3 linked regions of the Callithrix jacchus genome follow. The protein of the gene in region 3 interacts with the protein of the main gene of each other region in a pairwise test. Links are inferred from orthologs where the notes say so. Each region holds a gene or a part of one and is shown on either strand. Other genes may lie near its edges.

Evidence for each region. The genes of interacting proteins can lie anywhere in the genome.
Region 1: the proteins of ABI3 (region 3) and EIF3H interact in binary tests that used the Homo sapiens proteins (3 or more experiments, as listed by UniProt). The two-hybrid records come from large-scale screens. The link is inferred for Callithrix jacchus from reciprocal best matches to the Homo sapiens genes ABI3 and EIF3H.
Region 2: the proteins of ABI3 (region 3) and HOMER3 interact in binary tests that used the Homo sapiens proteins (3 or more experiments, as listed by UniProt). The two-hybrid records come from large-scale screens. The link is inferred for Callithrix jacchus from reciprocal best matches to the Homo sapiens genes ABI3 and HOMER3.

The regions. Positions count from the first base shown.
Region 1 is NC_133517.1:80,710,320-80,714,449, forward strand, and holds part of EIF3H (eukaryotic translation initiation factor 3 subunit H), read left to right. Parts: intron 1-2,996; coding exon 2,997-3,153; intron 3,154-4,130.
Region 2 is NC_133523.1:17,623,519-17,627,648, reverse strand, and holds part of HOMER3 (homer protein homolog 3), read left to right. Parts: coding exon 1-57; intron 58-1,234; coding exon 1,235-1,356; intron 1,357-2,222; coding exon 2,223-2,379; intron 2,380-2,730; coding exon 2,731-2,847; intron 2,848-2,944; coding exon 2,945-3,031; intron 3,032-4,130. UniProt on the Homo sapiens protein: Postsynaptic density scaffolding protein. Binds and cross-links cytoplasmic regions of GRM1, GRM5, ITPR1, DNM3, RYR1, RYR2, SHANK1 and SHANK3.
Region 3 is NC_133506.1:117,093,899-117,098,536, forward strand, and holds the start of ABI3 (ABI gene family member 3), read right to left. Parts: upstream 3,026-4,638; 5' UTR 3,008-3,025; coding exon 2,891-3,007; intron 1-2,890. UniProt on the Homo sapiens protein: May inhibit tumor metastasis. In vitro, reduces cell motility.

The DNA.
Region 1 (4,130 bases), on a different chromosome or scaffold from region 3:
TCTGCCAATCATATTGGTTGGTATTACTCCATATTGAGCTCTTTTCCCTGCTGGCTGCTTGTACTCCTTTGGAGTTCCATATCTTAGTGGTGCAGTCTTGGGTCTATTCATAACACAGTTTTTACTGCATGCCTGTTGTCTATTACTGATTATTTTAATTATTGATTTAGTTGCTAATATGAGAATCATCTTGTTATTAAAGTATACACACAAGCTTTGGACCTCACCTAGGCTTAAATCTTGGCTCAGCTCTACCACTTCCTAGATGTGTGGCCTTTAGCCATTTACTTACTTTCTTTCTACCTCAGTTTTCTTATCTATAACATGAGTATAACAGTACCTTTTTCCTAAGGTTGTTGTGAGAATTACATGATAGGGTAGCACCTGTGAAATAATTGGATTATTGACTGTCATGTCATGTTCAGTAATGTGTTATTAACTGGTCATTAGTTTCTTTTTTTTCTTTCACAATTGATTTATTGGTTGTGTTGATTTGTACAAAATTCTGAACATAGGTACTGAAAATCTAAAAAGCCATGTGTTGTAATTTTTAAAAAGTTATTCTAGTGACATTCCAGCTTAAAATTGGAAAGCAAATTCTCCTGAAGAGATTATCAAGAACCAGTACTTTCGCATGTTGATAAGCTGTTACATAGATCCCACCAATTCACAATATAATAGCATACAGACTACATACTCAAAATTTCAATCTTCCACAGCACATTAACAAAGTTAATTAGAAAAACAGGACTACCACAACCAAAAATGTTACAGAGTGCACAACCATTATGACGGAGAGAGCCATGATCAAAAACAGTGTTTCTCTTTAGGAAATAATTCTACTAAAAAATAATGTGGGAATAAAAGTAATTTAAAATGTTCAAGACATTAAATGCAGAACTGTAACTCCATATTGCCGATTAGTATGCTTTGTATTGTAGGATATAAAAGCTAACCCCCCAACTATGGAATGTTAAGCTGATACTCAAGACAGTGAAACCCTCCCATAATTCAGTATCTCACACAAACTTGTGTTTACAAAATAGTTGATAACAGTATTCCTCTGGGTTGTACAAGAAGGGAAATAGGGGCCACCGATAAGACATGGTGTATTCTGACATAATCAAACTTGGCTTATTTCTTTCTGGTCTCATCAGAGGCTGGACTCTTCTCAGTTTTAGTTTCTTCATTTTGTGCAGGCAAATTTCTTTAGTTTCCTCGTTAGCCATGTTGGCCTCTTTTCCCTTGCTCCGCTTTTCCCTTTGTTCACGTTTTTTTGTCTGAAGATTTATCCTTTCCTGCTGCCTTTTTTAGCTTCATTTCCACTTTTGTGGGAGCAGGTTTAGCTGACAACCACATTGATTCCCTCCTAGGCTGTTTGTTTGCCACCCCTGTGGCTGAGCTGACCTGTGGGCTCAGTCTGCAGGCAGAAGTAGCTGCCTGCCCTGTGTCTGCCTGGCCCACCCATTAATTAGTTTCTAACAATAATATATTTGTTTTAAATGAAGCACTAATCAATAACGTACAAATAAATTGTCATTTTCTTGTTAAACTTATTTTCCCTCTGTGAACTTCCCATTATAATTTTGACTGTGTTGCCTTTTAGGTCTTCAGGCCTTGGGCTTATATTAAATATTAATGTTACTATTCTTAATAATATGTGCCAGGCACTATGAAAAGCACTTTATATATATTAACCCCATGTTGTAGGAACCACCTAAAAAAACACACAAAATTATTAATGATGATGATTCTTATTATGGACTTTAATTGCTTGTCCACCCATACACTGTGTTACCTCTTTTATCTTTATGAGAATATTCAAGGAGAGAGTTATATAAGACCTGAGTATTCCATTAGAGGTTGTTTAATGAATCTGTAACCGGGTTTTTTTTTGGGTGCTGGCGAGGCACAGCTCCCCCAAGAGAATGCTGTGGGTTCTTGGCCTCCTATCCCTTAAAGAATAAGTGATGGGACCCCTGCAGGTGTGCTGTATGCGCATAAAAGTAAATGTTGGACCCAAGAAGTGTTTCAGAAAGGTGATTTTATTTAGGTAGAGAAAAGAGAAGGAAAGGAGAAGAGAAAGACTTCCATGCAGAATGTGGAAGGGGATTTCAGAGGGGAAATCTGGCCAAGTGTGTGGACACGGACTTTTATCCTGGGAGGAACCACCACCTTCTCTTAAGACCTTGGGCCAATGAAAGGAGTTCGTTAGAACTTCCGCTGGAGTGATTGACTTTTGGTTTCTTCCCACGCCCGTGAAATTCAAACATAAACCGTTAAAACTCCCGGATGGAGAGAGTTGGGAGGGGGGCATGGCGTTGGGAAGTTTTTGCCCTTAAAATTATGCTCTGTCATGGACCCGGAAAGAGAACACATTCCCTCAAATCCTTCCGATTGAGAAAAACTAGATCGTGCTGGAGACTGCTCTGTTTGTGTTCTTTGTTACCAACTAGATTCTTATTGGATATGTGTGGGTACCTATTCCCGTTGTTGCATCCTCTGACTGTGGAGATGGTCTGTTGAGAAAGGCAAAATGAGAATTTGTCAGAAGGCTCTGCTTTCAGGTGTCCAGATAATTGAGACCTTTATCTCTGTATCTTTTAATGGTTTTGTCATTTATGTGTCTTTCTGTTAACAGGATCACTTCTTCAATAATAGCTCTAGGTTGAGGGTGTATTGTTTGATTTGGCTGAAGGAACTCCTAGATGCCAGACTATGGGGGAGCTTTGATTTAAGAGCATAAGTGCTGTACATGGACATTTTTGACATATAGTCAAACTCCTGGAATTTCAGATATATATTAAGATTATGTGAGCTTTATTATTTATGTAAGGGTAAAGGAAATGATTTGTAAGACATTTATTTATTCTTCTTATTTAATTTTGTGGTTTTGCAAACCTGTGAGTACGGTTGATTTATTTATTTTCTTAGAAATAAAGGAAATAATAAAGTAGGATGTTGTTAAGCTCCCTTCTGTGTGTGTGTGTTTTTAGGTGGTATTAAAGATAATCAAACATTATCAAGAAGAAGGACAAGGAACTGAAGTTGTTCAAGGAGTGCTTTTGGGCCTGGTTGTAGAAGATCGGCTTGAAATTACCAACTGCTTTCCCTTCCCTCAGCACACAGAGGATGATGCTGACTTTGATGAAGGTAAGAGTGTTCATCACTAGTGTGTGTCTTTGCAGTGCATACAAATGGATGTTAACACAGTTCTCACTGTAACTTTTGGTAATGTATGAATTGGGAGTATGTCAGGCTAGCCTACTTGACTTGATTTCTAATATTTTGAGAAAATTATAAATTCTGGGAAATGAGGATATGTACTATAGATGTCATTAGTTTGGGTTTTACTTATTTGGAATTTATGATTCTGATTTGTAATAGTTTGGATAGGATCTGTGTTGATGTTGACTTTGTCAGTTTGTCAATCTGAAGTCAGCATGCCAAATAACTAAAGTTTTGAGGGACATAGATGATCCCTGTGTGTCTGGTATTCATTCCCTTCTGTCCTCTTTTGACTAAGTCAGTGTTTACAAAGAGATAGAGTTCAATTTTCTGCTTCAAAAAGAAGATACTCCTCAAGCATTTTAGGAATATTTTATTTTTGTACTACAGGCGTGGTTGCTTTGTTAGCAAAGGCCGACAGCAGTTAAAAGCTCACGTCAAAGGCCAAGGTCGGCATCTTCAAGATTTTTTTAAAATCAGGTTTAAAATAACTTCTCACTTGTTTGAACTCGCAGGTTTCATTTTCTATGTAACCTTTTATTGTGGTAAAAAGCACATAAAAATGTTAAGTATATCTTACAGTAGTGTTAACTATATGCATATTGTGCTGTAGTTTTCTAGAACTGTTTCATCTTACAAAACTCAAAACTCTGTATCCATTGAACAATCCCTTTTTCCACTTCTTTCACCCCTGGCAACCACCATTCTATTTTGTGTTTCCAAGAGTCTGATGACAGGTACCTCGTTAGTGGAATAGTGGCATTTTTTGTTTTGCGAGTGGCTTATTTTATTTAGTTTAATGTCCTAAAAGTTAATCCATGTTGTAGTAATGACAGGATTTCCTTCTTTTTTCTTAAGGCTGAATAATATTTCATTATCTGTATATACCACATTTTCCTTAT
Region 2 (4,130 bases), on a different chromosome or scaffold from region 3:
AAATCTCAGGATGGCGGGGAGCTCACCAGTCCAGCCCTGGGGCTCGCCTCCCACCAGGTCAGCACTCCCTGCCCCCCTATGCTTCCTGGGCACCTGTGAGTCAACCAGGCCCAGGATTGGGGGGACCTTGATATTAGGAGACCAGGCACTGTGCTAGTCCTCAAGACCCAATGCTCCCAGATGACCTAAAGTTAGACCCATGGCAGGGGCCATGGAGGAGGGGTGTGGAGCATGTCATGGAGGGTCTGGGCCTTGCCTGGGGTCGGCAGGGGGCACCCAGTAGGTCCCAGTAGCAAAACCAGCTCAGATGGCAGAATGGAAGACTAGAAATTGAAATAGCTAAGTGTGGCCAGGCGCAGTGGCTTATGCCTATAATCCCAGCAATTTTGGAGGCCAAGGTGGGAGGATCGCTTGAGTCCAGGAGTTTGAGACCAGCCTGGCCAACATGGTGAAACCCCATCTCTACTAACAAATACAAAAATTAGCCAGGCGTGTCGGCGTGCACCTGTAATCCCAGCTACTTGGGAGGCTGAGGCAGGAGAATTGCTTGAACCCAGGAAGTGGAGGTTGCAGTCAGCCCAGATCATGCCACTGTACTCCAGCCTGGTGACACAGTGTGACAGAAAGAAATGGCTAAGTGTGAGGCACAGCAATGAACTGGCCCTGTGTGTTTTCCCACATTAATTTATTCAGCATCATTTATTGAGCGCCTGCTGTGTACCAGGCCCAGGGCTGTGCACAGGGGTTGCAGAGATTTAGAAAAACAGGCTGAACTCTACCCTCAGAGCCAGCGGTCCAGGCTTTGGGGTGGCTCATGAAACACAAATTCAGCCTGGGCAGGGCTTCCTGCTGAAATCCTAAACGGGCCACAGGGAACAGAACAGGGAAGGGAACAGCATGGAGCTGTCCGATTGTCCCTCTCCCCTACCTTGGAGGTTCTAAGTATCTTGGTTTAGACTAACCTGCATCAGACTTGCTCCTAGGGGTGGTGAAACCCCAGGAAGGCAAGGCTGAGGGCATGGGCCTGGAACTCTCAGCCTAGGGGCCACAGGGAGCCATGGAGGGTGGGTGAGATGGGGAGGGACACATTCGGATCCGGTGCTGTGAAGGACCTGCTTAGGGTGCATAGGTCAGTTGGACCCCCTGATGTGACGACCCCGGTCACATCAGCCTTGATCCCAGCCACTGACAGAAGCTACTACTCATCGTGACCTGCTCTTTTCCCCGTGCACAGGTGCCCCCGAGTCCCCTCGTCAGTGCCAACGGCCCGGGTGAGGAGAAACTGTTCCGCAGTCAGAGCGCTGACGCCCCCGGCCCCACAGAGCGCGAGCGACTCAAGAAGATGCTGTCCGAGGGGTGAGGGGCGGGGCTTGGGGCGCGGCAGGGGACGGGGTGGGGATGCGGGACTTGGAGGCGGTTCTCGAAAGCCAAGGGAGTGCCAGGGACTGCGGGATCTAACTGTGGACCCAAGACCTGGGAAAGGGGAGGAGCTGATCCCGCTGCTGCTCCATCCAGAGCCGACCCCGCCCACGGCTTTGGCAGGCCGGTCTGTATTGAACCGGTCCCTGTCTCCTGGCTGATAACCTCGCCCCATCCATGCCTCTCGGGCTTAGGATAAACCTGGGGCGCCTCCCCACCCCGACCACGCCCCCCTTGGCTGACTCTCCTCAACCTCCCAACCCTCCTCTGCCATCCCGACAGTGTTACTGGGCGGACCCCATGTGCCCACTTCTTTGACCAGGTCCCTGACAAGACCCCGCCTCTTCGGGACTGCCCCATCCCCAAGCTTCGCACTATTTTGGCTGCGCTCCTAGCCCAGCCCAGTGTCGCCACGTCCCCAGCACACCGTGGCCCTGAGTCCATCCCCTGGCCCTACGCCACCCCACCCTTGGCCCTGCCCCCTACCCAGCATTGTCCTTGACACCACCCCCAGCCCAATCTCGCGCCTGGCCACGCACCAGCCCACACCACCCACCTCTGGCCCCGCCCCCTAGTGGAGCATCGCCACTGACTCCACCCCCAGGTCAGTGCCACCCCACCCTGGCCCTGCGCCCTAGTTCAACCTCACACCCTCTCCAAGCTTCGTCCTCACCCAAGCCCAGAGCCATCCCAACCCCTGGCCCCGATCCCAACCCCTGGCCCGATCCCAACCCCAGCATTGCCCTCTGACTGCCCCCGCTCTAGCCCCATGTCACCCCCTGCCGACCCTTGCGTTTCTGCAGCTCCGTGGGCGAGGTACAGTGGGAGGCCGAGTTCTTCGCGCTGCAGGACAGCAACAACAAGCTGGCAGGCGCCCTGCGGGAGGCCAACGCAGCCGCAGCCCAGTGGAGGCAGCAGCTGGAGGCTCAGCGTGCAGAGGCTGAGCGGCTGCGGCAGCGGGTAAGGGCACCCCCTCCCAAAGAGAGCCCCCCACCTGACCCGGGCAACTGTGGAGCCCACGCCTCTGCCAGTCCCATCTGCCCTGGGTGCATGGACTGGCCGGGTGACCTCAGCAGGTCACTGTCCCAGCCCCAGTTCCTTGCTCTGTAAAATGCGTGTGAGACAATGCCAACTTCAGAGGGTGATCAGACCCTAAAGTCCAAGCTACGTGAGTGGGGGAGGTGCCACCAACCAAGGGAGTTGGGTGCTCGGTCCTGGATGTGGCTGGACAGGAGGCAGAGTCCCTAGAGGTTGGGGGAGCAAGGGAGAGTGCAGGCAGGGGTGGTAGGGGCTGCTATTCCTGTCCCACAGGTGGCTGAGCTGGAGGCCCAGGCAGCTTCAGAGGTGACCCCAGCCAGTGAGAAGGAGGGGCCGGGCCAGGGCCAGTCACTGGAGCAGCTGGAAGCTCTGGTGCAAACCAAGGACCAGGTGAGCGCCAAGTATGGTTCCCGGGCCTCGTCCTCCCTCACCTCCAGAGGGAAAGCCAGGACCCCCAGAACAGACCCTGGGAACTCTTTTCCTCTAGGAGATCCAGACCCTGAAGAGTCAGACTGGGGGGCCCCGAGAAGCCCCAGAGGCTGCCGAGCGCGAGGAGACTCAGCAGAAGGTGCAGGTGTGTGTGGGCGCCAGGAGGTGGGGTGAAGGTGGGTGACCATCACCTCAACAGACAATTGGGACGATCTACCTAAGATGATAAAGTAGTATTGGGAGTCCCAGGCCCGCGCCAGGCCTGATGGCCGGCAGGCGCTGTGTGAACAGTGGGTTCAGCAGGCAATCTCGAGTCCCGGCTGCATTCCCACGCCAGACCCTGTCATTTCCTCCTGTTCTCAGCCGGAAATCACAGAGCCTGCACTGGAACCAGGTGTGGCTTGGCTTTTTTTGTTTTTTCTTCGAGATGGAGTCTCACTCTGTCGCCCAGGCTGGAGTGCAGTGGCGCAATCTTGGCTCACTGCAACCTCCACCTCCCAGGTTCAAGCGATTCTCCTAACTCAGCCTCCTCAGTAGCTGGGATTACAGGTGTGTGCTACCATGCCTGGCTAATTTTTTGTATTTTTAGTAGAGATGGGGTTTTACCATATCGGCCAGGCTAGTCTCAAACTCCTGACCTTGAGCAATCCACCCTCAGCCTCCCAAAGTGCTGGGATTACAGGAGTGAGCTGCCACGCCCAGCCTTGGCTTGGCTTTTGCTACAGGCTTTATCTGAGAAATGTTCAGGGGATACCTTTTTTTTTTTTTAATTTTGAGACAGGGCCTCACTGTGTTACTGGGGCCAGAGTACAGTGGCGCAATCTCAGCTCACTGCAACCTCCACTTCCTGGGCTCAAGCGATTCTCCTGCCTCAGCCTCCTGAGTAGCTGGGACTACAGGTGCCTGCCACCACATACAGCTAATATTTGTATTTTTAGTAGTGATGGGGTTTTACCATGTTGTTCAGGCTGGTCTTGAACTCCCGGCCTCAGGGGAGCCACCTGCGTCTGCCTCCCAAAGTGCTGGGATTATAGGCATGAGTCACTGTGCCCAGCCCAGGGGGCACTTCTTGTGAGCCCAACAAGTTGAGATGTTACAGGACCTGCTTCCCTTACACCTGTATTCCTAGCTACTTGGGAGGCTGGGGTGGGAGGACTGCTTGAACCTAGGAGTTGGAGGCTACAGTGAGCTAGGATTGTGCCACTGCACTCCAGCTTGGGCAACAGAACAAAACCCTGTCTCTT
Region 3 (4,638 bases):
GGCATTTGCCCAAAGAGCCTCAGAAAGGCCAGGAAAGGTATCAGGTTGTGTGTTCTAGTAGTTAGTGTTCTGCATGAAGGAAGCAGGAGTCTGGGGATCCCAGCCTGGGTCAGGGCTTCTGACGCCCTGCATATTTTTGCAAGGACAGCTTTTACTCCCTAGAACTGATTCTTATTATCCATCCTTCCAATGAATGATAATGATGACGATAGTCATGGTAAGAGCTGCCATTTATCTTGCTCTTCTGAAGGGGCAAACACTAGGCTAAATGCCTTGATACATTTTTACATTAAACCCATGGAGCCACCCCTGAAGGCAGGCATGAGAATCAGAGGAGAAACTTGCCACAGTTCCTGTAGTTGGTAGGTGGCAGAGCTGGAAATTGGACCTTGGTCTTTGTGACCCCAGACTGCACTGTGTGTGCAAATGAGAGCCCTGTGGAAGCTCTTTGAGGCATGCAGAAGTTATGGGAAGAATGGAAAGGGCTGCTTGGATCCTTGACCATAGAGGGAACATGCCTTTCTTTCTTTTTTTTTGAGACAGAGTCTCACTCTGTTGCCCAGGCTGGAGTGCAGTGGTGTGATCTTGGCTCACTGCAACCTCTGCCTCCTGGGTAGAGTAATTCTCATGCCTCAGCCTCCCACATAGCTGGGATTACAGGCGTGCACCACCACACCTGGTTATTTTTTCTCGTGTTTTTTTTGTTTGTTTGTTTGGTTTTGTTTTTTTAGTAGAGACAGGGTTTCACCATGTTGGCCAGGTTGGTCTTGAACTCCTGGCCTCAAGTGATCCACCCACCTCGGCCTCCCAAAGTGCTGGGAGTACAGGCGTGAGCCACCAAGCCCAGCGGGAACATGCCTTTCTATGCTAGAAGAATGCGCTGGTTTCCAAGCCTTGTTCTGCTTCATCTGCGGGTGGTCATTCAACATCCAAACAGATGGAAATGATACCCAGAGTAGCATTTTCAGTTAGTGGAATAGGGAATGGGCTTTGGATTCAGATTTCTGAGTTTGAATATGGGCTCTACCACTAGCTTGGAGACCTCTGGGAAAATGACTTCACCTTTGCAAACTTCAGCTTCCTCACTGTGAAGGGGAATGGTACTGACTTCACTAGGCTTGAGATGAGGATGAAGGGAGGCCAAGCTGGTAACATGTCTGGCCCAAAGGAAGGGTCCAGAGTGTTTTAACTGCTGTCATCACTGACTCTCTTTAATCTGCCATTTCCCATGAGTGCTTGTTCCTCATTTATTTCTTTTTTTCAACATTCTTATTATGCTAGGAGATCCCTGTGCCTGTTCTCATAGTTTGGTTAGTACATGTTAGGAAAATAAAGTTTTGCCCAAGGGGTAATAACATTAGCCTGCAGCAAGCAATTCAGGGAGCAGAGGAAATCTAAGCCAGAGAGTACAAATAAACTGTCTTAAAGTCATAAAGCAAGTCGGGAGGCAGAAAGATGGAGAGGAAAGAGCTTGGCATCAGAAGTCAGGGAGGCCCAAGTGTGGTGGCTCACATAGTAATCTTAGCACTTTGGGAGGCCAAGGTGGGCAGATCACTTGAGGCCAGGAGTTCAAGACCAGCCTGGGCTACATATGGAGACCCTGTCTCTAAAAAATAAAAAATAAAAAAAATTAGCCAGGCATGGTGCCATGTGCCTGTACACCCAGCTACTCAGCAGGCTGAAGTGGGAGGATTGCTTGAGCCCAGAAGTTCAAGGCTCCAATGAGCGATGATCATGCCACAGCACTCCAGCGTGGTTGACAGAGGAGACCCTGTCTCAAAAAAAAAAAAATCTGGCTGGGCGCAGTGGCTCAGTCCTGTAATCCCAGCACCACTCTGGGAAGCTGAGATGGGTGGATCACCTGAGCCTGACCAACATGGCGAAACCCTGTCTCTAGTAAAAATACAAAATTAGTTGGGCGTGGTGGTGCGTGTCTGTAATCTCAGCTACTCAGGAGGCTGAGGCAGGAGAATCTCTTGAACATGGAAGGCAGAGGTTGCCGTGAGCCAAAGTCACGCCATCGCACTCCAGCCTGGGCAACAAGAGCAAAACTCCAGCTCAAAAAACAAACAAACAAAGGAATGCCTGGCTCTGCTGTTTGGAGCTGTGTGGCCTTGGACAAGTCACTTCACCTCCCTGAGCTACTGTTTCCACATCTGTAAAATAGGAATTACATGCCTCACAAGGTAGTTGTACAGATTAATGAAATAACAGAAGTTATTTCCATCATGGCTAAGTTGCCTTGCTTTTCCTCCTTGAATCCAGGAATCCATGTTTTCAGCCCCAGGACAACCACACTATTTACAAACTGTTCTACAATGCCACCTCCCCATCTTCTGCTGGTAGCCTGCTCCCAGCAGTCATGTGGGCCATCCCCCTGCCTCTGCATGAGACCCCCTCTCTTTAGCCCAGCCTACTCTGCCTTATCCTCACTCTTCCTCAGATCTCAGGGAAAGCCTTTCCCTGGTCCATCTCAGTTTCACTGTGCTGTTTGGGAAGTTCTTCCGAAGCCTCTCCCAGAGCCAGCCTGGAAACAGAATGATCACCAGCATCTGTGTGAGGGCAGGGGCTTTGGGTCTCTGGACCAACCTGTGGGGGACTCAGAAGGATGAACCTGGGGTGAGGCCTGAGAACAGGATGGAATCTCACTGTCTGTCCCAGACATCTCTGAGGCTCTGAGAGCAAGAAGGGGCACAGTGGGGGCTTGGGTAGTATGGGGTCAGGGTTAAGTGTTTCGGTCTGGGATGAAGCTGAAGCCTGGAGTGGGAAGATATCTCAGCCAAGGCCCAGGACAAGCACTGTCAGGATGGCTCCCCAGGCCCAACCTGGGGCTGGGCTCAGGGTCCCTTCTCCAGGGCTGGGGTGTCAGGCCTGTGCCCGCTCTACCTACCTGCACATAGTTGTCCTCGCAGTAGTCAGCGACCCGCAGCAGGGCACTGTGGTTGCCCCGTAGAGCCTCCCGTCCCGTGGGGATCTCAAACTCCTGCAGCTGCTGCAGCTCCGCCATCACCCTCAACCTCTCTCTGGCTCCCCAGGGAGCCCGCTCGTTTTGAGCCTCACCCTGCCCTTGATTGGTTGCGCTGCCTTCCCTCCCTCTTACTGCTTTTGGTTTCCTCTGTGTGAGACCCAAACCTGCTTGCAAAGGGCAGGCACGCTCATTCCGGGACAAGAGGAAGTCAGTCCTGCTCCCTGAGCCTGCGCCTCTCTGTCCCCTGCCCAGAGGAAGGGGGAAGCCAGGGGCCCATTTGGGGGCCCAGCCCCCAGTCCCACCCAGCAGAGGAAGCGAGGGTCGGGGCAGCTGTGATTGCTCCCTGGTCCTGGAGAGGAAACTGGTCGGTGGGGGGATGGGGTGGGAGAGTGGGGAGGAAGGGGGCTGGCCTGCTATAGGGGGTGGAGGTGGATTTTCCACTTATGGAAGGCGGGAGGAAAGGGCAGAGGGTGGGGGCTTCCTTGGGAAGCTCAGGGATGAGTCACCAAGGGACAGGGGAGTGGAGGGTGGATAGGATATGGAGACCCGTCATACCGGAGAGGACTGTGGGGCGGCAGCACAACAAAAATAGAAAACGGCCAATGCGGCAGCAAGAGGAGTCAGGGTGGACACCGGGAAGACACGGCCAGAGGTTCCAGAGGGGTGTTAGCAAGCCTGCGAACGGTTGTGTGTGATGAAGAGCTGCCCTACATGCTCTGTGCTGATGAAGGCAGAACAAGATGAAATTGACCACGTGTAATCTGAGGAACTCAGATTAGACAACAGGAAGGACTTGGATTTGAGAAGTACCAGGTTCAAATTCCACATCAACTTGTTGGTTTTAGGAAGCAGCGGTGGACAGAGCAGTGAGCCTGCCTAGGAGGTATGGGCTGTAGTTCATGCATTAGCAGGACACTTGGACCAGACGACCTCCAGGATCCTGTCCTGATGTCAAACCCTTAGCTCTCCCAGCTGTGAGTGGGACTGGGTTCTGGAGCAGGGGAGTTAGGATGGCCACCCTTTTCTCTGCCCCTCCCACCATCAAGCCTGTCATCCTAGAGACAGGAGAATAAGAGGACCTCCCATTGACCATGTTGGTCTCTTAAATTCTGCTCCTCCGTTGGATCCTTTGTCACTGGGCAGGTGTCAAAGAGCAGTGTCAAAAACGAGGAGGCTCAAACACACAGAGCAGGAGCTCAGTGTTAAATGGCATAGCCCTTGGGTGGTCCTGGGGGTAGAGCAAGAAAAAAACCAGGATGTGGGCCCTGTGCTGGGGAACCCACACTCAGGGTTCAGAGGGAGGCGTGGCAGCAAAGAAGCTTGAACACAGGCGTTAGAGGTGGCCACTCTCCAAGTACTAAGTGGCACAGCATAGTGAGCAAGGACGTTTTTATTGAATAAGTGGATGAAAGTGAGCTAGGAGAACCTGTAAGGTGAAACTCTGGGGGTCCAATGGGCACATCGGGCGTCTTGGTTAGGGAGATTGGGGGCCGGTCTAGGACTTGCCGCAGGAGGAAGGACAGCCTCAGCGCATGCTCAGAGGTGGGGAGGGAAGGAGGAAAAAGCAGGCGAAGAGGGGCGGGTGAGGCTGCAGGGTAGGAGGCGGGGAAATAGAAGCGCTGGGGGCTCTAAGCTAGTGAGGTCACCAAAAGAGCGAGGCTAATGCAGGG